4 separate regions of the Mus musculus genome follow, and all the other regions are reported to be linked to region 1. Evidence: microRNA targets listed by miRTarBase, many of them from high-throughput screens and not tested one by one. Region 1 holds a microRNA gene; each other region holds the end of a gene's coding sequence.

Region 1 (7,121 bases):
GTCAAGAGGACCGATGCACTTCTCTGGCTTTCTGGGCATAGTCCTCAATTTGGACAACCTCAGACTCAATAGACCTCCATGTGCGAAGGAACATAGAGAGCTGCCCAAGACAGGCACACCACAAGGACAACATGAGAGGAGACCAAGAGAAGAGCTTTTTTTTTTTTTTTTAATTATTCCTTCATATTCAAACTTCACAAACAGTGTGAACTTGTACAATACCTCAGAAAGTGAAACTTACAAAAAAAGTGCTGGTAACATTTAAAAAAAAAAACAACAAAAACCCCAAAAAACAAACATCATTCTTAGCAACATCAATTACTCTTCCACACAAAACAGAAACCTTGTAAAATTTATTTTCGTATTTTTAAGGCGTAATACTTCTGTATAAAGTATATGCAAGAGATAAAACTTCACAGTATTCCAAAATGTCACAATAATAATAATATAATAGTATAATGAAGCGCTACAGTTAATTTTTCTTTTTTTTGAAATTTTTTCCTGTTTAAATAACAAATACAAGTCACAGGTAAATATACGTGAGAAAAATACGAGGCTAATATTAAATGGCAGGTAAGGGTACTGTCACTGTAAGAAAAACTGGCAGGATGTGTGTATTTAGTCTATATTTTAAAGCACTTGATAGAAAAGGCGTACGCAAGGTTTTTCAAAACAATTTTTTTCTGTTTGTTTGTTTAATAACTGACAAGAGTATAATGAGAGAAAAAAAAGGAACAAACTCCCTCTCAAAACTATTGACCTGCTCATCCCAGACCACGCCCCTGTGGGGGGATGTGTGTATGTGTGTGTGTGTGTGTGTGTGTGTGTGTGTTGATGTGTGCATGGATTTCTACAGTGCAGACTGAGACAGCAGTGTTCCACACCCACCTGCAAGGACAGCCATTCCTCCAGCTTCTCTTGGGAAATTATTCTTTTGACTTAATGCTCTCTCCTTTCTTGCCTCCCACTTCAAACTCTTCCTCAGTGCCCCGTTCATCAGTCTGAAAAGTTACCCTCCACTCAAAATTCTCTGGGAAGTGGAAAACTGCACATGGTGTGTGACACCCACAGAAACATCTGAAATATCACTTGGACAAATGAGTTATGTTTGTGTGTGTACATCATGTCTGAATATACAGTGTGTGTGTGTGTGTGTGTGTGTGTGTGTGTGTGTGTGTGTGTGTGTGTGCATGTGTATGTATACACAGTAGCAATTGCAAAAAGGGGACCATATTCCTTCCCACCCTAATATACAACGTGATAAGGGACATTTTTCCGTGCAGGGCAGGGTTTCTTCGAGTCTTATCACAACACTGTGGTGGGCAAATCAGAAAATGAGTTCACCTTCCAGCAGTCACCACGGTAAACGTCATTGAGAACACGCATGCTCAGATGTCTGGTCTGTGCACATGTGTGTGTGTTAACAGCTAGCTATTCAGCCAACAGTAACAGAAGACAGCAGATAGCAAAATACGTCAATAAGGTGCTCAAAGAAAAAGGTGGCACCCACTTGTCAAATGGATGGCCACGTTAAGGTGCTTCAAAAAGAGTTTTAAAGTTTTTATTTCAAACGTTGAGAGAGTTCTGGTTTGCACATGGTAGTTCTGAGCCAGGCCAAGGGTTTTGAGTTTTCTGACATCTTCCTACTGAAAAGGACTTTCACTGTGGTTGTTTTGTTCACTTGGATGTGGTCACTTGAATCTAAACCATTTTTAATAGGCAAAAATGAAAATCAAATCGTCACGACTAACAGAAAGAACGGATGAAATGGTAGAGAACATTACTGCATTCCCATTGGATCAAGATGGTCTGTCCCAGTTTTCCTCAATTGCTAACACTGCTCCTTGTTTTCCTTTGTTACAATCCATTCCTTATGAACACACAGCAGTGACCAGCGTCACCGCAAGTGGCTGTTTTTATTGTTTTGTGATCTGCTGCAAGAGTCCAACCTTGTTTCCTCTGCTGCTGTTTGTGAAATGAGCATCTGGATTTGTAATGAACACTTGATATGCTATGTGCACCTGTGTGCGTGCACACACACCTATACCTGTATAATACACACACCGCATATATGTGGACATATATAGAAGTGTGTATACATTTATACATAATATAGTGTATACTGTTTCAACTGGAGATATGCTGAACTGGGTTCAGACACTAGCACGTTTATCTTTCTCCTGTTCCCTCTGTGTGTTTTAAACAGTCTGGAGCTTTTATTTATTTTTAAAGTGCATTTTTAATGCAGAGTAACTATAATCCACTGATTCCTTGGATAACTTTTTTTTTTTTTTTTTGATGAGAAAAATCTGACGGTTTTCAGCCCCAGGCAAGAGAAACCAGGGTTTGGTCTTGCCAAGGACTGAACGTGGCAGTGCCAGGCTTGTGCCTGAGTGATTACTGGGCATTCTGGACTCCGGGCACCTCAGCAGCAGCAGCAAGCAGCACCTTTATGAGAAGGCAAAGACAGGAAATGAAGAAGGAAGCAATGTTCAGAGGAAGAAGAGTGTATTTGGTGTTTGTGTGTGCATCTCTGTGTGTGTCTGTGTGTGTGTTTGTGTGTGCATGTATTGCACATACTCACATATGAGCATTACTAATCTTGACTGTGATGGGCTTGTGCAGTCCCTGTGTATTTTCAGCCATCTAGTTCCTCCCCTACCAACTGACCCCAATATCCGATGGTCCCCACATGCTCAACTGTCACCTAGAGGTCCTCACTCCTGGGGCTGACATCAGCGTGTGTTCCTGTGGGCATGTGAGTGCCAGCATAGAATAGGAATAAGGCACCAGGGAAATCAAATGTCATGAGAGAAAGCAAAACCCACTTCAGAGCCCCTTCCCTTGTCCTTTAAAAATAGTGCGCATGACACCGTTCACGTGTGCACTTGAGAGTGTGCCATACACATTTTCTGAAAGAAACTCAACCTTGAGGCCCTTCAGCACCAGAGAGCTTTAGGAGTGCACCCTTGTCTATACCGCCCCACCCCCACCCCACAAGCAGAAGCACCGAGTTGGGAGAACGAGGCAACTTGCCTTGCTCACCTCACTGTGATAAAATAAGAACAATAAAAAAGTCTAGGAAATAGAAATTTCAGGAACTTCTCTAAAATCAAGTGGATTAGGCTGTCGGATTCTGATTCCTTGATGCTCTAAGTGTGCACAGTGACACGTGGAGGGATTGAGATGTTTGTGTTTAATATTTAGTGGGGGAATATGCTAAAAAAATCTCCCAGTTGATGCCTAAAAATCCTCTCTTCCACAAACACTTTAACCTTCCCCTTCTACTAAAAACAAAACAAAACCCAACACATTGTAAAAAAGGAAGAGGTTCATTTAACTATAAAAGGGAAAAAAATGAAGGCACATGACTTTAAATTTAGTCCCACAATCCTTAAGAAAAATAGTTTTTTTTTTTGCTTGTGTGTGTGTGTGTGTGTGTGTGTGTGTGTGTGTGTGTGTGTACACGCGCATGCGTGCGCGCTCGCGTGCATGCGCGGGATTTTGCATGAAGTATGAAGTCCATTGGACAGTTACCAAGAGAAGCTAGAAGAGAAAATGAGAGAATTTGGGACAGAAAGAAGAAAGGAGGAGAAATGGAGGCCTCTCTTCAGCTTTTTGTCACTGACAGTCTTAAAATTTGGCTGCTTTCGGGTCCAGAAAACAATTCATTTGTCTTGGTCTGGAAAGTGCCCCAGTTATAAATATCTCCAGTTAATCATGTTACAGCTTTTGGTGTTTCCCTTTTCCCTTCCCTCCAGCCAAATGATTTTTTTTTTTTTAAATATCACAGTTTTTAAAAATTATTTTTTCAATGTTGAAAAAATATGGAAAAGCTATTGAACAGCCTCAGGGCGCACTGCCTCTCCATCTTCACAGTGAGCAGATGGATGGACGATCCACAGAGTCAAAGAGGAGGCGGGCAGCAAGAGCCCTTGTGCTGAGTGGTCCCTTGCTTTACCTCCTGAGGGCCGGGGCCTTCGCAGCGCCCACAGCCGTGTTTTCTGCTTGGATCCCACCCCCTCCCATCCACGGAACGTGGGCTGCTGAGAAAGGCAGAGCCACGGTAACTGGAGGGTCTTCGAAGCAGAAGGTGAGGGGGACAGGGGCGACCCCGCCAGGCACTGTTAGCTGTGTGTGCTCTTGGCAGCCTCGCCTCTGGATGGAGAAGCTCCGGGGCCCTAGGGGTCCCCCTCACACCTCACTTCCTGTGACCTCGCCACCTTCACGCCTCTTGGCAGAGCTGGCCCCACGTTCCTAAGAAGGCAATGATCCAAGATAGAGAGGCAGAGCCAGCCGGCTGTGTTGTACAAAAAAGGGGCTATAGACAGCGGGATTTCAGAAACAAATTTAACTTTGGTTTTCCGACTTTTTCAGACCATAAAAATTAAAGCAGGGCTTCGGTGACTTCCGTCATCTGAGAGCTGTTACGTTTTCCTCATTTGGCAAGGCTAAGGCAGGGGGGGAGAGAAAAGGTTTCCCATAATTGGTTGAAGACACAGGGTGGTAAAATGCTTCCACACTTAAACTCACAGTCCAGTGTTTTTGACATTTCATAAATAGCTTTTTTCTCTAAAAAAAGAATAAAACAAGAACAATCCCTTTACTTACTCATCTGAAACAAAATAAACAGCAGTGGGTACAAACTTCTTCTTGTAACAATTACAAAAACAACAATATAATCCCAACTTTTAACACGCATCTTGAATCAGTTATTATTTTTTAATCTCAAAACTGCAGCATATCCTTAAGGGCAAACTTTTCGATTAGTTTTTTTCTTTTTTTCTTTTTTTAAATAATGTCTTCACCAAAAAAACAGTCTTGTACCAATAAAATGCATTCAAAAATAGAAAATATTACACAACAAAAATATGTATCCTTCCTTTCCAAAAAAGATTCTTCACAAAAAAATGTAGAAAAAATTCCAACAATTTTTCCCTCTCCTAAACATTAACTTTCAGTCTAGGGCACAACTATTTATTGATTTAAATGTCTGTTTTTGCATAAGATATGGAAGATGCAAAACTTTACTGTATTAGGATTGTGACATAACATCCACTCCCACCCCATTCTAAAACAGAACAAAACCAGAAAAATCCAGCAAATATTCAGCAAATAATAATGAGCCAGTTGGCTAGGAGAAGTAACCGGTGTCTCGCCTTTCTCTGTCCATGTGTGTGTGGCAGCTGGCCTTGGACTAGGGGATGCTGGGGAAGAGACCAGGCTGGCTTCAAGCACTTTATTAGCACACGTAGATCTCAGTGAATCCCTTTCAGTATTCCATGTTGTGGACCCATCACTGCTAAGCCTCAGAAGAGCTTGAGGGCTGTCAGAGCACTGTGTACATCTGTGTACTGGGTATGTACATTTTCACAAATCCTTCTCAAGTATTGAGTGTGTGCACATGAGTGCGTGCGTGTGTATGTGTATGTGGCTGAGACCCATGGTAGAAAGTAACCCAGAGGTCCGCTGGTGTAAAGAAGGCGGGGTGCTCCCTACTTACCGACTTCCACATTCAACTTGCTTAGGTTTTTATTGGAACAATGGAAAGATCTCGCCTCAGAAAGGATTCGTAGTTTTCCCCACACACTGTACACCTAGGTTCCTCTTATAGTTTTCAGCACTGTAGTTGACAATGTCTTTTTATTACTTGACAGTATTTATCTCTCATGTGAGATATAGCCTATATTTTGTATGAACAGAATATTTTTCATAGCTTTTTTGTATGTGTGTGTATCCTATTACTTACTTGTTTGCTGGTTTTTTCTTCGGGGTTTTGTTTTGTTTCGTTTCTGATTTTTAAACAGTGAAATGTGTCCAATTTTATTTCCAGTGCATTAAACAAAATTTAAATTAAAAGAAGAAATAAAACTTTCCCCCTCATTCTTCTAAAGGAAATGACTGATAAAGTACATTATAATAAAATCAGGCATTACCAAAAGAAAAAAACAATAGCATCATTGTGCAACCTCGAACACATCAAAGGAAACAGACAGACAAGGCTTGCAGAACGTAAGCATGAAGAAGCCATGCTAACATAGTCCTAACTATGGTGTGACGGCAAGCACTGGTTAAAAATAGGTAAGGCTACTCTTTGATTTCTAACAACATAGTCAACCACTGCTCTCTGGTCTTTTCTCCTCATCTTTACTCATTAGAGTCTGTATATGTTTAAAATGAGCAAATTTGTTTTTATATTTTTGGTCTACAGTAGAATTACATATTAACAATATAATAAAAAGATATTTAGGTAACAGGTTGGTACTGCATCCATGTGGGAAAATAGAAAAGAGAGCACTCAACTAGACATAGTAATTGAACTCTATTTTTATAAAAATAACAATAAATGTAATAGAAATTATATTCAGGGTAACATTAAATTGAAAGTAAGTATAGAAATTTCTATTTGGGATAATACAAACTTCTGACAAACTCTACCCTAGAATTGCAGCCTCACAATCTTTCCCATGATTCTACCTTTCCACTCTCACTTAAGATTCAAATGGAAATGGAGACAAAATGAAAATAAAGTTGACAGATGTCTGAGCCAGCCAAAACTTCCAAGTTATCAGAGTTGATTATCAAGATATTGGGATCATCAAGACACTTGGGAAATTGTTCAGCCCTCAGGGGGCTAGCCACTAATAGTATTTGCTTGGTTTTAATTTTGAATGAGCTACCAGCCTACTGAAAAAGAGAGAAGCCAAGGAGTCAAATAGTTCTTCTGGTGCCATTCATGAGATGAAGTTTAAGTCTCGTTGAGAGGACATGGCAGTAAGACGGAAGAGAGGAGAGAGAAGAGACAGGTAAGCTTTGGGTACTACCGCATCTGTTTGCTGTAACACAGGAACTTCCTTTTGTTCCTAAGCGTCTTTTAAGATGAGCTGCAGACTATGTGTTCTGGGTAAATAGGTGTCATCTCCTTATAGGTGTGAAATCCAGACTCTGGCTTCCATAAGAGCTGGGCCAGTCTAGTCTCCCTATTACCCCTCGTTGTTCACCCGTGATGGACAGAGAAGGCCAGCAACACTGTCAAGGCAGAGGCTCTTTACTAGATATTCCTAGCTCATGAGTGATTAATAAGCTTATGATTCAGTACTGGGGAGAAACAAAGAGAAGTA
Region 2 (7,121 bases), not on the chromosome of region 1:
GCAAGTTCAAGGTTAGTCTGGCTTGCATAGTGAGTTCCAGGGCTACATAGTGAGATGATGTCTCAAGAAAACAATACGTGAGATTGATGTGTGTGTCTGCCTATTTTTGGGGAGGGCAGTGAGATTGATGTGTGTGTCTGCCTATTTTGGGGGAGGGCAGTGAGATTGATGTGTGTGTCTGCCTATTTTGGGGGAGGGCAGTGAGATTGATGTGTGTGTCTGCCTATTTTGGGGGAGGGCAGTGGTGGTGGTTTATTTCCTTTTGTTGATTGCAAGAGCTGTTGATGCAGGGGAATGCCACAGAGGTTGGTGCTTTGTTACTAGGTTTTTAAGACGAATCTCCTATCTCCATTTTGTTGCATCTTGTTTGACTTTGCTTTTGTCTTTTGTCTTCCCTTTCCCCAGAAAAGCCGTTATGAGACCTATATTCACCTCCTGGCCGTGAAAATCAAAGTGGGCTCAGATGACCTGGAGCGGATTGAGGCACGGCTGGCTACTATAGAAGGGGATGACCCAGCTCTCCGGAAAACACACTCAAGCCCCGCCCTCAGCCTGGGCCACGGGCCTGTGACTGGCAGCAAAGCCACAAAGGATACCTCTGCATCTGATACTTAGCTAGTGTGGCTGTGCAGGCCCTAGAGGCAGGCAAATGTCCCCAGAGGGGTCAGTGAGCACAATTCCAGCCAGGGATTGCTTGGACCGAGCTCCAGGCAGTTAACAGGCAACCAGAGGGGTGTGGAGAGCCCTGTGCCCAAGGAGATGGAGATGTCACTCATGACGCTGATCTTCTTGCATCCTGGACCATCGCTGGCCTAGACCCTCTCCTAGCCCTGCTGCCCTCCAGTCATGGGGCCAGACATGCTCTAGAGCTGGACAAGTCTGTCACTGTTGCTCTTTCCCAGGCTCCCTTCTCATCAGGCTCCTCCCTCGTCCTGTATTTGTGAGGGTGGGTCTGGACTCTGGATTTCAGCTTGGCTATCCACCCTTTCTCCTCTTTCCTCTCAGTTGACCAGCAGCAGGTCTATGGACCACCAGCAACCTTTGCAACCGGCCCAGTTCTCCTGCCTCACGTTGCAATAATCTGGGGCCTAACCTCCACTCAGTGCCAAGCTGATTCCACACATGCGTGTGTCCCCTTTCTCCTTTCATCCCCTGAGGCCTCTCCAGCCTCTTTTTTATACAGACACACACACACACACACACACACACACACAATATATATATATATGTAAAGTACTCATTTAAAGAAGGGTTGGAAACTACTACCGACTAGAGGGTGAAACCAGAAAAAGGAAAACTCCTGACTTGGAGCCTGGCCTGCTATGGAGGAAGCCTGCAGGGGGCCCTGCACTGCTCTGACACTGGATGGGAGGATGAAGACCCTCTGTGTTTTTGCCTTTTCCTTTTCCGGCTGACTTGTGACTCACAATCACTTTTCCAGTTGATGCTTTTGGACTGGACAGGATGCCTGCGTGTGTGTCACCTCCTCTGTCCCAGGGGTGTCCTGTGGGTTGAGTGCCTTGGGGGCACACCTCTGTTTGCTTTTGATCTTCTTGTGAATACTGCCAAGGTCTCCGAGCTCCAGTGATGCCCTCTGCACAGACCTCCTGGCAGTAAGGAAGGACACTACCTAGCTGAGCGTCATCCTCCGGCAAGCCCAGGCTGGGCGGTAGAGTAGGGTTAAGGAAGCTGTTAGTTTGTGGTCTCGGGGAGAAGGTAGAGTGACAAGGTTTTGATTAGTGATAATCCTTTCCTTTTCCTAGCAAATCAGAAAGCCTAAGCTAAGGACCCAGTTGAGAGTCGAGACACATGTCTCTCACGGGTTGACATCCTTTGAACACCGCATCACTTAGAGCAACAAGTGAGTCTCGGGGATAGGCCCCCTTGACACAGCTACCACGAGCCAATCTTGCCTATTGTTTGGCCAACGGTTTGCAGTCTTGGGTGACATAATCTTTGCAACTAAGTGCTTATCACTTCAAATCCACTCCCATCTGATGCAGGGAGCTGGGAGTTTGTGGAGAGGTGTAGTGGGGTTGAAATCCAAATTGCTTAAATTGGATTAGCTGAAGTGCGTTTGATAACCAAACCATCTGGCCCCTTTGTTTTGCTCAGGGGAAACAAATGCTCGTTTGAATGAGATCAGAAAGGCAATTTAGGGGGCAGCAAAGAGATCTCAGTTCTTTGTCCAGCTGCCTGAAAGTCCTTTGATTTTCCAGCCAGTGTCCCACTCTCTGTGTCATGGGTGGGGGACAGTAGAGGTGAAGTTCTTTAGCCTCAGACACGCGTGATTCCCCAAGCACTAGTTGTGCCTCCCATCAGTAAAGACATTTTTTAGTTCGCTTCCTTAATTGTATAATTCTTTATTTGTAAATTATATACATGTACTACTGTACTAAAATATTATGTACATTATAAAACATACACAAAAATAGAAATTTAAAAAAGATGAGATGAAAATAAATCTAAATCAAAGTTCTAATATTTTTTTCCTGCATTCTAATAGACCATCATGTTCCTCTTTCCTGTCACCCCTAACAAGCCCACAAGGACAGGTCCTGGGAGGTTTGCTCCAGGGCTCAGGAACTCCTGGTGCCTAATTCTTGACAAATAGCCTTCACCCTCTTCCGTGAGGGTCAACCATGTGCCATACACTGTTGCTGTGTGCTAGGGACAGTGGTAAAAGAGGCCAGTTCCCTGTGTTCACGGGTCTCACCGTTAGGAGGGAGACTAGGGGAGAAGTGGTTACCATGGCCACTGAGGACTCAGAGGGACTGGGAAGACACTAAAAGTGATAATGCAAAGTAGAGAAAGAACTTGGGGAGCAGGGGATAGAACTTTGACCTTGGAAGCTGCCCGAGTGTCCTGAGTGTCCCAGGGGACAGGGTGGCAGAAGGGAAGTTGCCTGAAGTGACTTCCTGGGAAGCCACACACTCAACGTCCCGAAGGCTAAACCCTGAGAGTCAGGGTGATCAAGAGGGCTCTCTGGTCAAGCACGCTCCAGGTCCCAACCATACCTGTCCAATGAAGACGGGCTAATGCAATCAAGGGAGCACTGAAGAGCGAGGTTAAGTTCTGGCCTTGGACTCTTGGTGGGGTATCTTAGAAGATAGGGCAGATGATGAGGGAATGAGATGGGGTCATGTACAGGTTCATTGACGAGGTCACTTGAGTCTTACAGGTGGTTTCTGGATGTAAACATAGAAGGTAACAAACCCGGCCCACACAGTTTACGTGAGGACACTGAATTAGATCGTAATGAGATCAGTGGGCTCAACAAGAGGTCAGAGCATTTAATCTGGGGTCCCATAGAGATCAGAGGTCACACGTAAGGATTAGTACCCTAAGAAAGCAAACAGACCACAGGGTCATCTGGTGAGGCCTGGGCGTGATCTACAGGTTTGTGTAACATTCAGTCTAGAAGGTTCTCTTTCATCTTTTCCCTTTGTAATAAGTGCCCCTCAGCACCCTTTAATGAATATAACAACTTTATAAAAGTTTAGACTTTTCTTAATCACCTCATTGAGTTTTTACCACTTTGTGACTCATGGTTACAAGACACAGGATTCCGTCTCCGCGACCATCAAGACTAGATATCAATCAGGAAGAGTGCCGGGTCCATCTGCATGTAACCTCCACAGTCACTCGCTGAGGTAAGCGACTGCTTCCTCATTTCTCACTAAGCAAACCGTGGCCTGGAGAAGCCACATAGCTAGAGAGGGACAGGTGGCACCCGGACTCAGAACCTATTGTCGCACTATGCCTCTCTGTCTCACTCCTCTGCGAGTATCTGTCTAGATCCACGCTGCAACTTTCAAGAATTTGTATAAGCATACACATGCGCACACATTCACCCAGGAAGGCTTTAGGTTCTGGCTGGCATCTTGGTTCCTGGTATTCTAGGGAGCTGATGGGAAAGACTGTTTACCCTGGACTCTATCTGCCTCCTCCATGCCTGAGATTAGACCTTCATCAGAGCCGCAGGTTTAGACAGGCCCTGGCTCTGGTGTGGGGAGAGCATATACAATTGGGGAAGGAGCAGTACCCTGTGGGCTCAGGAGCAGTTCTGGTCCTCCTGGCAATGAGGGGACCTATTATGTTGTCTTACATGTCCAGACTCTGCCTGTGACGAGCCTGAAGCCCCAAGGGTCATCTTTGCCTCCGCAGCCCCAGTGCCAACCCCACAACCCTTCCCTCTTCACCCACCTGGGCAAAAAACTGTTGCCCTAGTCCAGCTTCCTAGCTGCAGGGCAGGAACTGGGCCAGAGTTCTGAGGCTGCGTTTAAAGCGGAACGATTTGCGTCAGTCCCTTGGCTGGGTTCCTTAGCACCCAGGGGGACACCTTATGAATGATTTGGAAGAAAGACTTGGAGCAGGTCCTGGGAGCTGGGGCCAGAGGGACTGGAGAGAGGGTCACTTCCGCTCAGGGACTATCTTGGCCCTATCCAATCTTCCTCCCAGTACCCATGTGCCTCATCCTAGGCCCTCCTAGCTTCCCTCCTCACCTAGGTACACACAGTCAAACAGGAGTTATTTCTGATTTTATTTATAATATAAAAATGTTCAAGTGTCAACAGTCAGGTGTTCGGACATGTCAGGGTTCCCATTTGTTTCTGTTTGGGATTTTTGTTTGCTTTTTAGACAATTGCCTTTTTTGACAAATTAGCATTGGATCCAGTTGTGAGGGCTGGCTGGGGAGGGCAGGATTGGAAGATGGAAGTCATAGGTGGGTTGGGAGCTGGGCTGTGAGAAGGACATGGTGTTACTTTATTGCTAAAAGGGGAATCGAATACACTGTCGGAGTGGCTCTTCTGGGTCCCAGCGTGACCATGCATTCAATCTAAAGAATCCGAAATGCAAAGGACATGCAGGCGTAAAATAGAAAAGACGACCTGTAAACGAAGGCGCTGCAGAGGACAGAGGATGTCCTGGAGGCCGCCAGGGAGGAGGAGCCCTGAAGGTTGGGCCCCTGGTAGAGCTGCCCCCTCCCTCGGCAGGGGGCTGGTGGGGAGACAGCCTTCTCTGTCCTCTTTCCCTTAGCAGCTGTGAGGGCTGGGGAGGACCCTTCCCCATTCTAGTTGCTGTAGCGGGGAGGCCAGTGTCCTTGGAGATAACCCAATCTCAATTCCAGCTCTAAGGCTAACATCCCTGCCTTCTCTGCTCAGGACTGGGGAAAATACAATTACATCTTATCTTCATTTTCTTCCTCATTGTCCACTTTCCTCAGAGCCATTAGAACCTCACAGTCTCTTCTTTCCCTGCCCTTTCTCACCCCCACCAGTTTGGGATCCTACAAGCGCCCACCCTCACACTGCACCCCAGACGGCTCTCCAGGAGCCCCAGATTAGCGTACAGCAAAAGGCACCACAATATAGGTTTCTATTAAAGAGTCAAAAAATTGGCCCATCTCTCTTATTTTTTTTTTTGTTGTTTCTTTTTTTTTTTCCGAAGCTGTAAATCAGGATGTTACATATAAATAGTTTCCCTATAAAAACGTCTTTGCCGTTAGCTAGTATTATAAGACAATTTTTTTTGCTAAAATGAAAATAAAACATTTTGTTATACTTTTTTCCTTTTATAGAAAATAAAAATATTTTTATTTCTTTGTTCGCTCCTTTTCCCTCTCCAGTCGGTGGTCTCCGCTCTCCTTGGAGACGTGGGGCGGGCGAGGCGGGGGGCCTTAGAGGGGCCCCGAGTCCTGCTTGGCCCTCGTGGGCGGCCCCCGGCTGTGTCTGCTGCTGGCGCGCGTGCTGTGGCTGTCCAGGGAGTAGTAAGTCCTGCTGTCGGCCGCGGGGCACAGCGGCGGCGAGTCCGAGCGCAACGCGTCGTGCGCCGCTCGCAGGCCGAGGAATGGCGTGCTCTCGGCCGCCAGCGCCCCGTCCGCGTCGTCCGCGTCGTCGTCCGAGGCCGACGCCGAGCCGCAGCCCGAACCGCTGCTCAATGACAGCGAGTCCCGCGCCGCGCGTGCGCGCTGCGCCGCCAACCCGTTGAGCCGGGAGCGCCGCCAGCGCCGCGGCCCCGCCGACGTCCTGCGGGACGCGCCGCGCGTGCGCGGCCGCGGCGGCGGCGGGGGCGCGCACTCCTGCGTGGTCTCGTACTCGTCGTCCTCCGGGATGCGGAAGGGGCTGGCGGGCAGGCTGCCCAAGCTGCCTCCCAGCGCGCAGGCGCTGCGCCGCGGCCCGGGCCCCGCCGCAGGGTAGTAGTAGCTGTCGTAGCTGCGCTGCATGTCCGCTCCGGGCCCCGACCCCGGCCCCGGGCCGGGCGGCGCTGGATGCCGCAGGAGCGGCTGCTGCTCCGCCAGGCGGTAGCTGATGGGCGCGGCGGGCGGCAGCGACACGGCATGCGCAGAGTTGGGCGACGTGATCTCGAAAGTCGGCACCTGCGTGGCCAGCGAGTAGTGGAAGTCCACGGGCGAGAGGCGAGCGGGCGTGGTCAAGGCTGACACGTACCTGTGGGAGAGACAGAGGGTCGGGAGTCAGGGTGCAGTGCTGGTGTTCACCAGAGATTCCAACCAGAAAGTGTCCATAAGAGTGAGAGCCGTGGCTCTGACCACGTTTAGTTTCCATGAACCTCCCAGCCTTTTCTTATCTGTTAAGCACAGATGAATGTAGTGTTTACTCCAGTATGATGCTGGAGAATTTCAGAAATGTACTAGGGGAGTACTGTAGGGACGTTCACAGTCTCCGAGGCACGCTCAGGTTGGAGTGTTTTATGTGTGGTCTCATCTATTCTGTAGCATCTGTGGGTGAGGGCTATACTACATATAGGAAAAAGGGGACCCAGACTTGAAGTGCCAAGGACTGAATGACCAAAATGTGGTAGGTCTGTTTCATTCTTTCTGAATCAACTAACTCCTTCCTCCACCACTAGGTGTCTCATCTTAGAGCCGATGATCCCCAGGTCCTTGAAGGCCTGTTTCTTGCTAATACCTCCCAGTGTGAATCCTGGGTACCTGTCCCTGGGATTCGAATCCAGGTTAGGCAGAGAATAGTATGCTTAATTCCAGGAACCACTAGCCACCATTCAGAGACTACCTGGATTTGAGCTCACTGCTCTTGCAGTGACAGTTTATTCCCTGGCTTGGCTTGAGTGAGGGGAACATGCCTTCTTGTATCCAAAGG
Region 3 (7,121 bases), not on the chromosome of region 1:
CACACACACACACACACACACACACACACACACACACACACACATAATCACTTGGGTGTCCAGATGTACTATATTAGATGGTTTTCTCTCTAGACTTATATAACATCTCCCTCTGTTGCTTCTTTGCTTTTCTTTTGAAATTCCAGTCTGATGTTATCACAGCAGACACGGTGTAATCTCTCCTTCTCCTGTCTTCTTCCTCTCCTTCCTTCTTTTCCTTCTCCCTCCCCTTCCTTTTGCTGAAACTGCCGTCAGATGTTATCTTGGGTGAGGTCATGTGGCTGCCACTTTGAATTGGGGTCAAAGCCTTCAGAAAAGCTCCTCAATGGCTGTCTAGAGACATAAAAGTTGGCCTTTCAAGATCTTGCGCTGTTTTTGGGGCTGCCATCTGTTTCTGCCCACATTTTAACTTCTGCTCTGCCCGTCATCATTGCAGGTAATGGGACTTCTGACCAACCACGGTGGGGTACCGCACCAGCCTCAGACCGACTATGCTCTCTCCCCTCTCACTGGGGGCCTGGAACCCACGACCACGGTGTCAGCCAGCTGCAGTCAGAGACTGGAACATATGAAGAATGTGGACAGTCTGCCCACATCTCAGCCCTATTGTCCCCCCACCTATAGCACCGCAGGCTACAGTATGGACCCTGTCACAGGCTACCAGTATGGGCAGTATGGACAAAGTAAGCCTTGGACGTTCTAGGGGGTAGTTCCTCCTGGAAGGGAGAGAGATCACCTCTTGCTTGAGAACGGGGAACTGGAGGCATGTTTAAGCCTTTCATCCCAGTATCATTTTTTTGTGGCAAAGACAGCTGATTGCTACAGCACAGGCTCCCTTGTGTAATTATTTGCTTAACTGATGTCAATAACATCTTGCAGTTATTAATTGCTGGGACGGAAAACCGGATTGTCAGTAGGTAAAACACAGAGGTTGGCCAAAATGAAATAACCTCTAGCATTAGAAACACATGTTCTTAATGAGGTCAGCGCCAGGATCATATGGGGATAAGCCCAGGACACAGAGTTGTGTCAAACTTGTCTCAGGAATAAAAATATTAGTCTCGATCCTTTGATACCGTGGTATTAAATATGACATTGTCAGCCTGTAGCTGATCTTGCCCCTAACTGTGAATTGTCCCAGCATGACCTAAAAAGCTGCGTGTGTTTCCTTACAGGTGCCTTTCATTATCTCAAGCCAGATATTGCATAAGTGAACTGTCCACTTGGAGCCCTGTTTCCGGCCTCCACAGACTAGACATGAAGAATCTTCTCAGAAACAAAACAATAAAAAAAATTTAAAAACAAACAAAAAATAAATGAAAAAAAATTCAGCTTTTGGGGGAGGTGGAGACAAAAGAGATTGATTTTCTTTCTCCAGTAGTTGCTTTCAGATTCTTTGAACATATTGGACAAAAGGCAGGGGAGACAAGGAAGACCCAGAGCTCTAAAATGCACCATTTTTAAGACAGTGATGTAACTGGCTACATATCAAAATGGCCCCAAATCTTTGTTGCTGATCAAAGAAGCTAAAACATTCCGTGTGTGTGTGTGTGTGTGTGTGTGTGTGAGAGAGAGAGAGAGAGAGAGAGAGAGAGAGAGAGATTGATTTTCACGGGGTGGTTTGAGTAAGCAGAATGTTCCCATATATTGTAGTTGAATTCCTGAAAGTTAACAGGTTTGATGTCTAAGGCTGACCAAGTTTATGACATTCACACTGCTTATGTAGTGAATTGGGAATGGAGAAATCCTTGATTTTGACACACTGGAAACCGATATGAAAACCAACACCACCATTGTATAGGGCACTAGACTAGATGTGAAGGATCTCCCCAGTAAATTATTACCATACCTTCATTTGTAACCTAGTTATCAACCGATGTCCCTGACATGTCTTGTAAAAAGATGTGGGATAATGAGAAAAAAGTGTGTTATCTGCTGTGGGGATAGATGGATGTCATTTACTTCCCAAGTCACATTGATTTGGAGGCCAGTTGGTGGGGGGGGGGGAAGGGTATGATGTAGAGGAAGTGACACCCATCACATATCTGCTTCTCAGCGTGCAATACTGTGTACCTCACAGATGCTTTGGCAATGGCCAAGGTGATAGAAATGAAATCAGAACTATATTTTTGCAGGTGTTTTTATTTTTGCAGCCCATAACTCATCGTAGTAGAGTGCAGTGATGTTTGCTCGTTGCCAAACAACTCACATCCTGCTTGTTCCTTTTGTTCAGAGACCATGTCTGAGAATCAAGCTCTCTACAGAGATGGTGTTTACATTCGTCTCTTTTCTACAAAAGGCAGGGCTAGAACAGAAATGTCCACGTGGCTCTCATGTACTTTTAAATTATACAACGATACCCAATATTAAAGGATATAGGGAACAGGTTTACATACATTCATGTGGTGACATTTAGGATGTCAATAAATCTGTGTTTTGAAATGTTAAGAGAAAGATGAAGGTGGGCGGTGCTGTTATTTATTTCTTTCTATTCTTGGAACCATGAATGAGGTAGGCACAAATACATTCCCTTTAGATTTAAGAACAATGAGGTAGTGTGTTAGCAGGACTAGACATAGAACTGAGTTATTTTATACGTTGGGCAGGGTGATGGAACAGGAGACATAGTATCTTTGTGTTGCAGCCTCAACCAACAATGATGTGTTGTAAAAATGTCTTTCATGTAAAAAGTGCAGTAAATATTTACTATTTATAATGAATAAACAGTTAATGAAAATGTGCCCAACACTGCTTTTGTGTGTGTGTGGGGGGGGGGGGGGTGCTGAGGATGGAATGCAGAGTGAATGAGAAAGGTGGCTAAGCTGGGCACTGTGGACCCATCCTACTCCTGGTCCCTGGTACATGAGACTGTGACATGGACAAGAGTTACATATAAACCCAAGACGCTGGCTTAAACACACTCTGCAGGACTGAGTTTACAATATCAGGGATGTGGAATCTAGAAGTGCGCCCTCCCTCTCCATCTACCCTCTTTGGTTTCTTTGGTTCTCTCGGAGATGTCAATTCCTTTCAGCCTCATTTATAAATATGTATCTCAGTACACCAGGATCTAACTTCATCTCCCAAAGTTCTCCACATTGAAAATTTTATTTTAAAGACTTTTGTTTTAGCAACTCATTTCAGCCTTGGAAGGAAATAGTCTACTTCTGTCATTGTTTTCCTTTCCTTCTCTTCTTCCCCTATTCCTCCCCACACTTATTTCATGAGAGTCTAGATGTGGCAGGTGTAACACTAGACACTGGCATTGCGACGGCACAACGTGATGAGTCAGGGGGTTGAACTTCTGTTTCAATACATTTGGATGGTTACTTATTATAAGGCGATTAATCAACACCTACTAAACTCTTGTATTCACTTACTCCTCTCAATGTCTCATGTGATGTCATTTCAACTGTGTGACAATCATCTGTAGCAAGAAATTGCTGTATTGGGTAGCATTGATGTAGAACATTCTAGAACGTTGTGGTAGGGAGTTCTGTTGGTCAGCTGATTTAAAACACATGGGATTTTAACTATCCAGAGGAAATGATATACAGTAGGTAAAAGTTTCCAAATTTTAAAAATGCCTATACTCTTTTCAGCTTCCACTTGCCCTTCTGATCCACCATGTTGCTCTTTTTCTGACAATTACTTTTTTTTAAAATTTAAATAATACAGTTGTAGAAAAGGAAGATAATTGTCACCAAACACTTGCTTTTTGTCAGTTCTCACAGGACTCCTGTGAGGTGAGTGTCTTTTGCTCTGTTTTACAGCCAAGTGGACCCAGGTCCAGAGTTGTTAGGTTAGGCTGGGCTCATACCGCACGTAGGAGCAGCAAAAGCAAAGCTCAATTTCTACCAAACGTCGGAGTAGGGGCCACATAATTTTACCTCTCCAAAAGCTGCTTCAGATACTCGTTGCATTATACGAGTCTTGTGCCAAAACCCAAGTTGAAAACAGGCATTTAAAAAAGTAATTCCTTCTCGGTGCATGGAGACATGCTGCCAGGACTCGGATTTCACAACAGAAGCTGGTCTTCCCAGGGCCCTCTCCTGCCTGCCTCCTGACCCCAGGACCTGCCATGTGGGGCCCAGCTCTCCTTCTGATATATGTCTTTATGCCCTTCTCTTATTTCTGGATGTCTTCGAAACTATTGCTCTGTTGGCAGTTCTCATGTTCAAAGTCTCCATAGATCTTTCTTGCTCTGATTTTTCTTTTCGTCTAATCAATCTCCAAGAAATCGAACGCCTGACCTCCCCTGGGCTGGAGTCCCAGCTCTCATCTTTTGGGACAAGCCACACTAAGGGCTCTGAACTCTTGACATTTAACTAAGCTTGATCCTGTTTATATGTGAAGTTCCCTCCTTGATCATATCACCATTCATGTGCGTTTTGAAAGGCTAAAAGTAAAAAGTACAACCAGAATAAAAGATTGTCAGATTGTGGCCATCCTATGGTCAGCTCGAAGAGTCATTCCTATGCAGTTTCACTAGGAATAGGTATCATATTTCACAAGTATTTTATTCCTGTAACTCAGTTTGTTGGTGTATTTACACACACACACACACACACACACACAGAGATAGATACACATAGACACACACACAAATATTCAAGCACAGGTGAAAGGGATGTTTAAATGGACAAGGCTTCTTACTCATGGTTGTGAGTTTAGAAATGGAGAAGAGAATGGGTAAATGCATGATCTGTGTGGATAATGGACGGAAGAATCTGTTCTCACACTGTATCAGTTTGAGTTAAAATTAGCACACAGGACCCGAGCCAGGGTCTCTATAGAGGCAAACTTACTTTGGGGATAAAGAATTGGGTCTTGGGCTGGAGAGATGGCTCATTGGGTAAGAGCACTGACTGCTCTTCCAAAGGTCCTGAGTTCAATTCCCAGCAACCACATGGTGGCTCACAACCACCTGTAATGAGATCTGATGCCCTCTTCTAGTGTGTCTGAAGACAGCTACAGTGTACTCATATAAATAAAATAAATCTGAAAAAAGAAAAGAATTTGGGTCTTAGTTATTGTTAGCGAACATTTTTGGTGTTCAAGAATTCATAGTTAAATATATCTAATATCAAACAAGAAAGCACCAGTGTCAAGAGACAGGATGTATGACAGACCCTAGGTGTAGACAAACACTGACAGACCTGAAGGTTAGCTTTGGATGAGATGTATGAAGGTGATGGCAGAGAGTGTGTGTCTGGGGCTTCTCGCTAGAACAGCTGTGATCTAAGCCACATTTGCCTTTTCCAGAGTCTTCTCAGTATTGCTGAGCTCATCCTAGGAGCTCAGAACCAAGTCTCACCCACAATAGACACCACAAACCCACCTGTGGAATGAATCAATGAAGAACTAATGAAGAGCGACTCTTCTCTTGACCTCTAGACAAGGGGAAATTTGATTCATGCATGACCAAAGGCTGAGGTTGGATTGGTACAAAGACCAAGGGAAACAGTGGGAGACAAGGGGTCTAATAAGCCAGTATAACCCCTATTATAGTGTTTCTGATGGACATTGAGTGCCCAACAGGAAATTTGTTGAGTTTAACACACACACACACACACACACACACACACACACACACACACACACACACGCACAGAGGGGTGGAGGAATTGGTTTTAGGTCCATCTTTGACCACAATAGAGCCTTGAAGCTTCATCCACATATCACCAAGTACATTTACCTTGTCACACTTCAGAAGTCACTTTGAATGAAATATGGGGACACACAAGTCTAGCCTTCCCCATTGGGTCCTTGCCTTCATTTCTCCTCTTAAGTCAGAGAGCAGGGTGTGGTGGTTCAGATGGTCCAGTGATGGTGTGTGAGATGTGTGGTACAGTTGGATGGTCAAGGGAGTTGTTTTCACACCATGGCCTCTTCAGCAAGAGGCTGTCAAAGCTCATCCATTAGATACCAGTCCTGCTTGGTTTCTTCCTCAAGATGTGTAGGGACATTTTGTTTTCCAAGTTCTTGTGACCTTGTGGCATTCTGGAGAGCTCTGAGCACACTATTGCCCTGTTCATCTGGCTTCCCCACTCCATGTAGGTCAGGACTCATACAATACCTGAGACTCAGGAAGGATTCCCGCCCGTGATGGATTGTTTTATTATTTGAATGTTGCAGGAGACAGGCTGTGATTTCTTTCTTTCCATTACTTATGAATACATTGCATATTTACTGAGCTCCTAGTTCATGCTGGATGGTAGGGCTTCAATACAAACAAGACAGTTCCTACTTTCAGAAGACTACAGGATAGAATGAGCCCAGTCAGTAAGGAGGGTTCAGACACCAAGTAAGGTGTAAGCAGTGCCTTATATAGGTCCCAAGGAGAAGCTAAAACTCCAGTAAACACTGGAATGCTTCTCAGAGAAACCGTTCTGAAGGCTGGATGTCTAAGGGTAAATCAGAAATGACTTGGGCAGATATAGTGGCGAAGGGCAGGCTCTGTTTTTATGTCAGGTTGGCTTCTGCATTTCCATGCAAAAGAAGTCAGGGAGATCAGACTGGGGCTGAGCCTTCCACATTGGCTAGTAAGGAGAGTTTACAGCCAGACCGCTATGAAAAGCCATGGTGACTTGGACTCCAAGGATCTCAGATGCAGTAACGTCTTTTCTAAAGACTTATTGAACGCTTTGATCTTGAGGGCAGACGTTAAAACATAGGAAGGGACATATATGTGCTGTGATGATCACCTTTATGGTGACCCCAAAAGCTATGGGAGATGTGACACTGGCTCACTGTGGGTCTGCTGCACTTACATTGAAGAAGGGCTCTGCTGGAGGTCTCCAAGCTACAACATGCTAGCCCTGTCACGGGCTTGCAACACTGCAATATCCTTCTGCACCTCCACTTCATGTTCCAGGCTGGCCAGCGCAAGCCACTCTTAGACCAGTTATCCAGTTGTGAAGACTTGCCTGTCAATCTTTATACTTAACCTTGCTGACTTAAGGGAAAGTTTGTCTATTTTCTTTTTTTTTTTTTTTTTTTTTTTTTTTTTTTTGAGGTCCGACTTTACATTCTTCTTTGGGACAAGTTGCAAATGTCCTCACTGCATGCATATGCAAACTGTCTCTAGGTTGTAAGATGGGAAGGGAAAGCCAAGGGCT
Region 4 (7,121 bases), not on the chromosome of region 1:
ACACAGAGAACATTTTCCAGGATAGCTCATACAAAACAAGTCTCAGCAAAATTTAAAAATTGAAGTCATAGCATATATTTTTCTTGGCCTCAATAAAACCTGTAATTAACAAGAGGGTTTTTAGATATGGTACAAATACAAATCATGGGAACGAAACAACATGCTACCAAGTCAATTACTGAGGAAACCAAAAGAGAAAGATTTGAAACTGGAGACAACAATGAAAACAAACACATGAGTGTAGCAGAGCCAGTGCTGCGGGGATTTTGAAGAAAGCAATAGCCACATTTCAAAAGAGAAAGAGTACAAATAAAAACCTATTTGCTGAAACTCAAGACATTAGAAAAACTATAACAAAGCAAACCTAAAGTTAGTAGAAGATAAGAAATTACAAAGATCAGAACAGAATTGAGACTAAAATATATAAATAGTCAGGAAGCTCGAATTAGCTTCTTGAAAAGATAAAAGACCCAAATTTTAAATTTAGCAAAGTAGAAGACAAGAAATTACAAAGATCAGAATAGAATTGAGACTAAAAGATATAAATAGTCAGGGAGCTTAAATTAGCTTATTGAAAAGATAAAAGACCCAATTTTTAAATATAGCAGTGGGCATTGTTAAACATCGTAACTTAGCACCAGAGAAAGAAAGGGACCACTGGAGCAGTAATGAACAATTACATGGAACAAACCGGAAGCCTGGAAGAAACAGACTTCTAGACATAAGGACCCACTAAGACTGAACCATGAGGACACAGAAAACCAGGAACAACAGTGAGTCATGGGATTTAGTTGGAAGGGTCAGTCTCTTGTATTAACTCTCTAGTTGCTGTGACTAAATGTCTAACAGAACAAAGCCCTATAATGGAGGAAGGGTTTATTTCAGCTCATGGGTTCAAGGGATTCCGTGGGTGTTGGCAGGGAAGGGGTGGTGACTGGAGTCTGAGGCAGCTGGTCGCATTGCATGGCCGTTAGGAAGCAGTTATGATAGTTCTAGTGTTCGGGTAGCTTCCTCCTGGTTTTGCCGGCTGGCCTCCAGCCCATGGTACCACCCACATTTAGGGTAGGTCTTCCTGCCTCGTTTAACCTAATTTAGATGACAAACACACCCAGATGTGTGCTTCCAAGGTCAAAGCTGAGAGTAGAGATTAACCATTCCATGTCCAAACAAACAAACAAACAAACAAAAGTCAGCGTCTGAATGGTTTTACTTTTGAATTTCACCAAACTTCCATAGAACTAATACAACGTCTTTACAGACTATTCCAGTAAATTGAAAGGGAGGGAGCCGTTCCAAACTCATTCTAAGAGGCCAGCACTACTCTGCATCCAAAGCTAGACAGGGCTACAACAACAACAACAACAAAAATTCAACACACCAATATCCCTGGCTAGCATAAATTCATATTGGTGTAACCAGCTGCCCTGAGACTGCACTGGAGGCCTCCTCCACATAAGAAAATAAGCACCTGCAACTATAAACTTGGCCAAAAGCCTATGTCTGAGGGTTTATGGGATCAAAGGAGGAACATACGACCATTGTTTCCCTAGTTAGATATGTTGTCAAGCGTTCTTCTAAATATTTCCATTTATATCCCTAGACTAGTGCCATCCTCTGCCTGGGCCACAGGAGTTCCTTTTTGCGAAGGGGAGCAGTAAATGCAGAGACACAAAACTGGCTGAAGTGCTGAGAATAATTAACTATTTATGATTATCCCTTAATGAGACATTTATTTCCACTCCCCTCAAGACTCAGAACCATCAGTGAAGAAGGGTAGGAAGACTGTAAGAGGCAAAGGATGGGGAGGAGGGCTGTGAATGCTGCCTTCTGGACCCCAGTAGCTATTGCCTTGTAAGAGACCTACACAAGATCAAGGTGGTCAGTAAACATTCCAACACACAGAGGAGGGACTTAGGTGGCTCTCCTCACAGCTGAGGAGGTGGTGACAATTGATGGCTGCTGGGGACAGAGGTGTGATCTCAGAGAGGGTGCCCATGCTCTATAGAATGGCCCCACACCCTTGCACACACAGGCAAGACCAAATGGACTCAATGGGTTCTTTTTTTTAATAGGACATTAAGAGAGAAACAAGTATTGCAGAGGGTCTGACAGGAGTCACAGAGAGAATTTGGGTTGAATATGATTAAGATACTTTGTATACATGAATGAAATTGTCAAATAAATAAAATATATGCAAAAATGAATTATACCTGAGGAACTAGATATGGTAGTTACTATGATCTGATCATTACATACTACATACATGTATTGAATTGCTACTGTATACCCTATACTATTTTGATAACTGAGAAACTGAACTTGTTTGTTCCAAATATTAGGGGATTTTCCAGATGTCTTTGGGGGAATTCTTAGTGGAGGCTGGGAGTGGAGCTCAGGGTTTGTTTGTTTGTTTGTTTGTTTGTCTGTCTGTTTGTTTTACTTGCTAAGCTTACGTTCTATTCCTGAGCTAGACCCACAGCTCCAACTTCTCCATCAATATTGCTATTGTTTTCTACTTTAAATTCCTATTTCCAGAGACTATAATTGGAATGATTATCAGTCCCTTTGTATTTACGGTGACTATTTTATACCTATAATATAGCCCATCTTTGTAATTTCCCCATGTGTATATGTAAATAGCACGTTCTGTAATTGGATAGAGTATACTATGAATGTTAATTAAGTCAATAGTAAAACCTTTATTATTTTGGATAATAGTATGATTCTTAACTCTATTTGGTATAATATTAATAGAAACCCTGACTTTTCTCTAGTGTTGGGTATGACCTACCTTTTAAAAACATTTACCACTATTTATGTTTTTAATATCTAAAATGAGTGTTTTTCAGGAAACATACAGTTGGGATAACCTTCCTTCCTTGAGTTATTACATTCTTTATTTGGGTCCCATAATTCCTCACTATATTTTTTTTAACTCTCAAATAACTGTAATAAATTTTTTTCATTGTACTTTACCTACTTTTAAAGTTGATTTTCTACCTGAAGGTGGATCTGAATTCCCTAGCTCCCCCACCTGCCAGTTTTTCCACCAACAAGGTAGTAGGGTATATTAGGCCTCTAGTATGTGACATTTTTCTGGGTATTGGGAACATGATAGCAAATGAGTCAAAGTCCCCCCAAGAAACTCCCATTCTGGTGGGGGAAAGTGTTCACTTTTGAGGGGTAGGTTGAAACAGGAACTCGCCCTGAAGCCCAGGCTGGCCTCTAGCTTGTAATCCTGCCGGGAATCGAGGGGCATGACATCACAGCTGACCACGTGAAGACAATGTCAGTCACTGCCTACTGAGCACCCTTGGATCACACAGCCACTTTTGTGTGTCCTGGAGGGATGGACTGGAGGGTTATCTGTAAGGTTTGCATAGAATTGTGTAAGGGTGGAAAGTCTAGAGTAAGTCAGCGGTGAGCTGGAATCAGTACTAACATACAAGCGATGACTGTGAGCTCGCCATAGAGTAAACAAAAGTATGGAGAGTGACAGTTGAGAAATCTGTGTTTATCTTTTCTCTCTCCCACAGAACTTCAGAAAACAGAGCCTAAAACAGAAAACTTATAGGAAAACTCTGGCCAGACTCCAGCCTTCTGAGATATTGAAACTCTCCATTTCACGGCAGTCCTGACACATGAGGCTCTCAAACCACCAGATTTCCTCCAGTGAGAGAATCGTTCTACTAGGACTTGCCAAGAAGAATACCAAGCCACCAGTATCACCCCAAGGGAGTTATTAGTGTCATACCACCAGTAACCCCAAAGAGAATACTATACCTCAAGGATTCCCCAAAGATGACAATGCTCTGTCAAAGCTTCCAAAAGGAACCTTGAACCACCAAAGTGTCCTAAGAGGGGTGTGAGATCACTAATGCTCCCCTCAACAGTGCCATGCCTCCTAAGGGGAATATCAAACAACCAGAGTTCCTATAGAGAACATCAAACCTCCAAGTTCCCAATTAGGGAATCACTAGGCACACTCCTTGCTGAACAACAAACACTATGACCCCTGTAAACTAAATCCCTCCCCAGGAATCTGTTAACATGGCATATTCCTCCTCAATTATGTCTTCCTTCTCCCACTGGAGAAAATTTAGCCTCACCTTGCCCTCTTCTCCTCCTCTCTGAACCTAAGTATGGTGATGGTAGGGTGTGGTCAAGAAGGCTCACGCCAAGACCGCTGAGGCTTTCAGGAGCAGCTCTCTAGCCCAGCTCTTCTACGGGATGCTCCTCAGGAGACAGGCCAGGGCAAACAGTGGTACCCAGTCATGGACCTGGAGCTGGTGCTCTCTAGGTTGCAGGGCTGTCTCATCTTATGCTTCTGTTGTACTTCCTGCTGAAGGAGTGTCCAGTCATGTCAGCTTATAATAAAGGCAACCTCTCAGGAAGCCAGTGTGTTCTCTGCCCCTCTGTGGTCGCCTAGGCTCATAGACTGTGGGATGGTGCAGCAGTGACATTTTCCTAAGTTGGGGAAGAAGAGGTGGCATAGACATGAGCCAGGACAGAGCTCGCATCCCACCCTCGTTTTCTGATCTGTGTGCAGTGGGTTGCTCCCTAATGCCTGGGGTTTGCAATTCACGGTCTCATTTCACTGAATAAATAGCCTTTGGCCTTACCAGGAAAACAGAACTCAGAACGATCATTTGGTCCCCTCTGTTTGGGAGCCCAGTGTTAGCAATAGTGAGTTGAGTTCTATGCTGTTTCTTTCCGCCATTGTGCCAGGCCAGCCAGCACGAGTCAAACAGACCTCTGAGTGGAGAGTGAGGATTAACAATAGCAAAGGCAGAAAGGAGACACAGAGATAGATTCAGAAATATTCCAGTGAATACTGCAGCTCTGAGTTTATTGCTCAATAGCATTTTTATACCCCACAGTGCAGTGGGAAGCAAAACCACAAGCTAGCAGAAACCGTGGCTAACATACACAGGATATCTGTTCCCATCTGGAGACTTCCCTGTTCCTCCCACCAAGGTTAATAGAACATTCAGCCCTCACCTTAACCCTCAAAGTATCTCCTCCTATCGTCCCATGTGTCAATGGGCACGATCTGTCAATGGGCTATCTGTCTGCCCTCAACCCCTGACCTGTTTTGACCCTGTCTAGCAGGCAAAAATGGCTCCCGACAATCCATTCACACTCCTCCTGGACCTCACCCTTCCCCTCAGCAGGAAGATATAGAGCAAACTTCTCTATATCAGCTTCTCCATGGACCAGATTTATCCTAGTTGACTGTGGAGCCATGCGAATGTTATAGGACAGGGCATTTCCCTCCTTCTCAACAGCCAAGGCATCCATTCCATAGAAAAAGGCTGCTTGGTTTGAGTTCTCTGCTTGTATACACCAGCTGCCCTCTCCTCCACATGCAGTGCACTGGTCAGGAACAGCACTCCCTGGGATGGTCAGGCATACAGACGTGGCAGCCTGGGTGCTTAATGTAAAGTCTCGGGGAGATACTGATGGAAGTTCCAAACACTACCATCTCAAAGGGATTCTCAACTTGTCACACCAGTAGCTAATCACTCCAGCCACCATCCCATCTGAAGCCCCTGCCCCAGATCTACCCAGCCACCCCCAGACTTCACTGTCTCATTCTGGTCACAAAGCACTATCACTAGACCTCAGCATTTCACCCAAGAAAGTGTTAGCAATCTTGGATATGTCTTGATAAACTGAGAAGAAGCTTCTGGCAAGATGGGAGGGCTATTCTGCCTCCACTGGCCCTAGTTACACACACACACACACACACACACACACACACACACACACACACACACACACTTGTATACATGTGCTCGGGCCTTCCCCTCTCTGGCCAGTGGCAATCACTTCCCCCATCCCCTCTGTCCCAAGTGGTCTTTTAAGACTCAAGGAAGCCTTGGCCTAAGCATGCCAAACCCCAAGGTGAAGGAAGCATATTGCTCAGGCGGGTAGAAAAAGTAGCTTCACAGACCACCCCTACAGGTCTGCACCCCGATCCCACATTGTCTCCCCAGCAAAGATCACCATGAGACCAGAGAATAAGACACATGCTTTATGCCCTCAGGTGGTCAGGGAGATTTTAGCAGGGACCCACCACATAACTGTCACATAACAGGAGTGATCCAGGTAGAATCAGGAGGCTTTGTCCAGACTCAGGAGGTAGTCTAGGGGGCTTCCTGGAGCAGATGATACTGAGGAGTCCTCCAGAGAGTCCTTAGTGGTAGTGCTTATGACAGGGGCCAGTGCTGAGGACCCTGAGCCCAGTCCCTTGGGTTTCAGAGCATCCGTTCAATGTACAAATAGTTTGGTTGTTCCAAGTATGCAGAGAGCTAAGTTGTCCTTGATTCCTCTGTGCCATCCATATACAGAAAGTCAAAAGAGGTTGCTTGATGGAGCTGGTCTGAATCAGGAGAGGTGACCAAGGAACACAGACTCTTACACCAGGAAGGCCACAACAAAGTAGGGTGACAGCAAACCCAGATGCCATAGGTGGATGCAGAAGAGTCTGGACCTCGTGGCAGGCAGATCAGATGCCCAGCAGATATGGTCAGTCCAGCTTCCCTGCCTAGAGGGCCAAGGCCTGAGCCAGCGTCTCCTCTGAGGTTCACCTTCCACTCCTGGAGTTCCTCTGCTTGCTCATGGCTGTGAGCATCTGGCTGATGTAGGAAGTCAGAAGATCATCCATTTTGTATCCCTAAAACCAGGGGTAGGAAAATAAGCAGAGCCCACAGTGGAACGCACAAGCCCCTCACACACAGACACGGCTCCCAGAACATACTTCAGTGGGCACAATACAGAAACAAAGCAAGTCTGCCCCCATCTACACATTTAAGTGGCTGGGTTCATCTTGCTATCTTGAGCCCCAGGCTTGTGGTCCCTCTAAGCCTGGAGGCCTCAATGCAGGAGTGACTGCAAAAAACTACCAGTTAAGTTGCACCTTGGGAGTTTGGGCTCATGCTGAAGGTCTCATTGCTAATGGCTCTTCTGGTGCACATGGGCTGAAGGCCCACATCCATGGGATCAATAGCCAGATTCTAAAACAACAGCTGAATGATGGCTCTCTTCCTCCACCCTAGCTGACCATTTTTCCCCGGACCTAAATAAACTAGGCTTCTAACGGACTCCACCAGGAGAGG

What was found. Region 1 holds the annotated microRNA mmu-miR-568 (AUGUAUAAAUGUAUACACAC, at 2,090-2,109, opposite strand). A microRNA usually pairs through its seed, bases 2 to 8, with sites in the 3' UTR of a target mRNA and lowers its output. Matches are read on the target gene's strand: a 7mer-m8 pairs with bases 2 to 8, a 7mer-A1 pairs with bases 2 to 7 and ends in A, and an 8mer does both.
Region 2: the mRNA of Psd2 is a reported target of mmu-miR-568. Seed matches in the 3' UTR shown: 7mer-m8 at 1,176-1,182.
Region 3: the mRNA of Pax3 is a reported target of mmu-miR-568. Seed matches in the 3' UTR shown: 8mer at 2,347-2,354.
Region 4: miRTarBase lists Myo7a as a target of mmu-miR-568. The part of its 3' UTR that is shown has no 7-base or 8-base seed match.

Annotation. Positions count from the first base shown.
Region 1 is chr16:43,635,653-43,642,773 of GRCm38, reverse strand. It overlaps Mir568 (microRNA 568), which reads right to left and starts at 2,119; the gene lies at 2,037-2,119. It also overlaps a transcript of Tigit not described here.
Region 2 is chr18:36,012,234-36,019,354 of GRCm38, forward strand. Psd2 (pleckstrin and Sec7 domain containing 2) reads left to right here. Exons shown (of 15, transcript NM_028707.4): 15 at 406-2,482. The coding sequence ends at 615. Nrg2 (neuregulin 2) reads right to left here. Exons shown (of 11, transcript NM_001382420.1): 11 at 2,348-6,449. The coding sequence ends at 5,681. Among named protein-coding and RNA genes, the nearest start is that of Psd2, 51 kb to the left of the region's middle.
Region 3 is chr1:78,096,890-78,104,010 of GRCm38, reverse strand. Pax3 (paired box 3) reads left to right here. Exons shown (of 8, transcript NM_008781.4): 8 at 437-2,744. The coding sequence ends at 703. Among named protein-coding and RNA genes, the nearest start is that of Pax3, 97 kb to the left of the region's middle.
Region 4 is chr7:98,045,038-98,052,158 of GRCm38, forward strand. Myo7a (myosin VIIA) reads right to left here. Exons shown (of 49, transcript NM_008663.2): 49 at 6,023-6,679. The coding sequence ends at 6,590. It overlaps Gdpd4 (glycerophosphodiester phosphodiesterase domain containing 4), which reads left to right. Exons shown (of 18, transcript NM_177696.3): 18 at 3,537-4,626. The coding sequence ends at 3,574. Among named protein-coding and RNA genes, the nearest start is that of Myo7a, 71 kb to the right of the region's middle.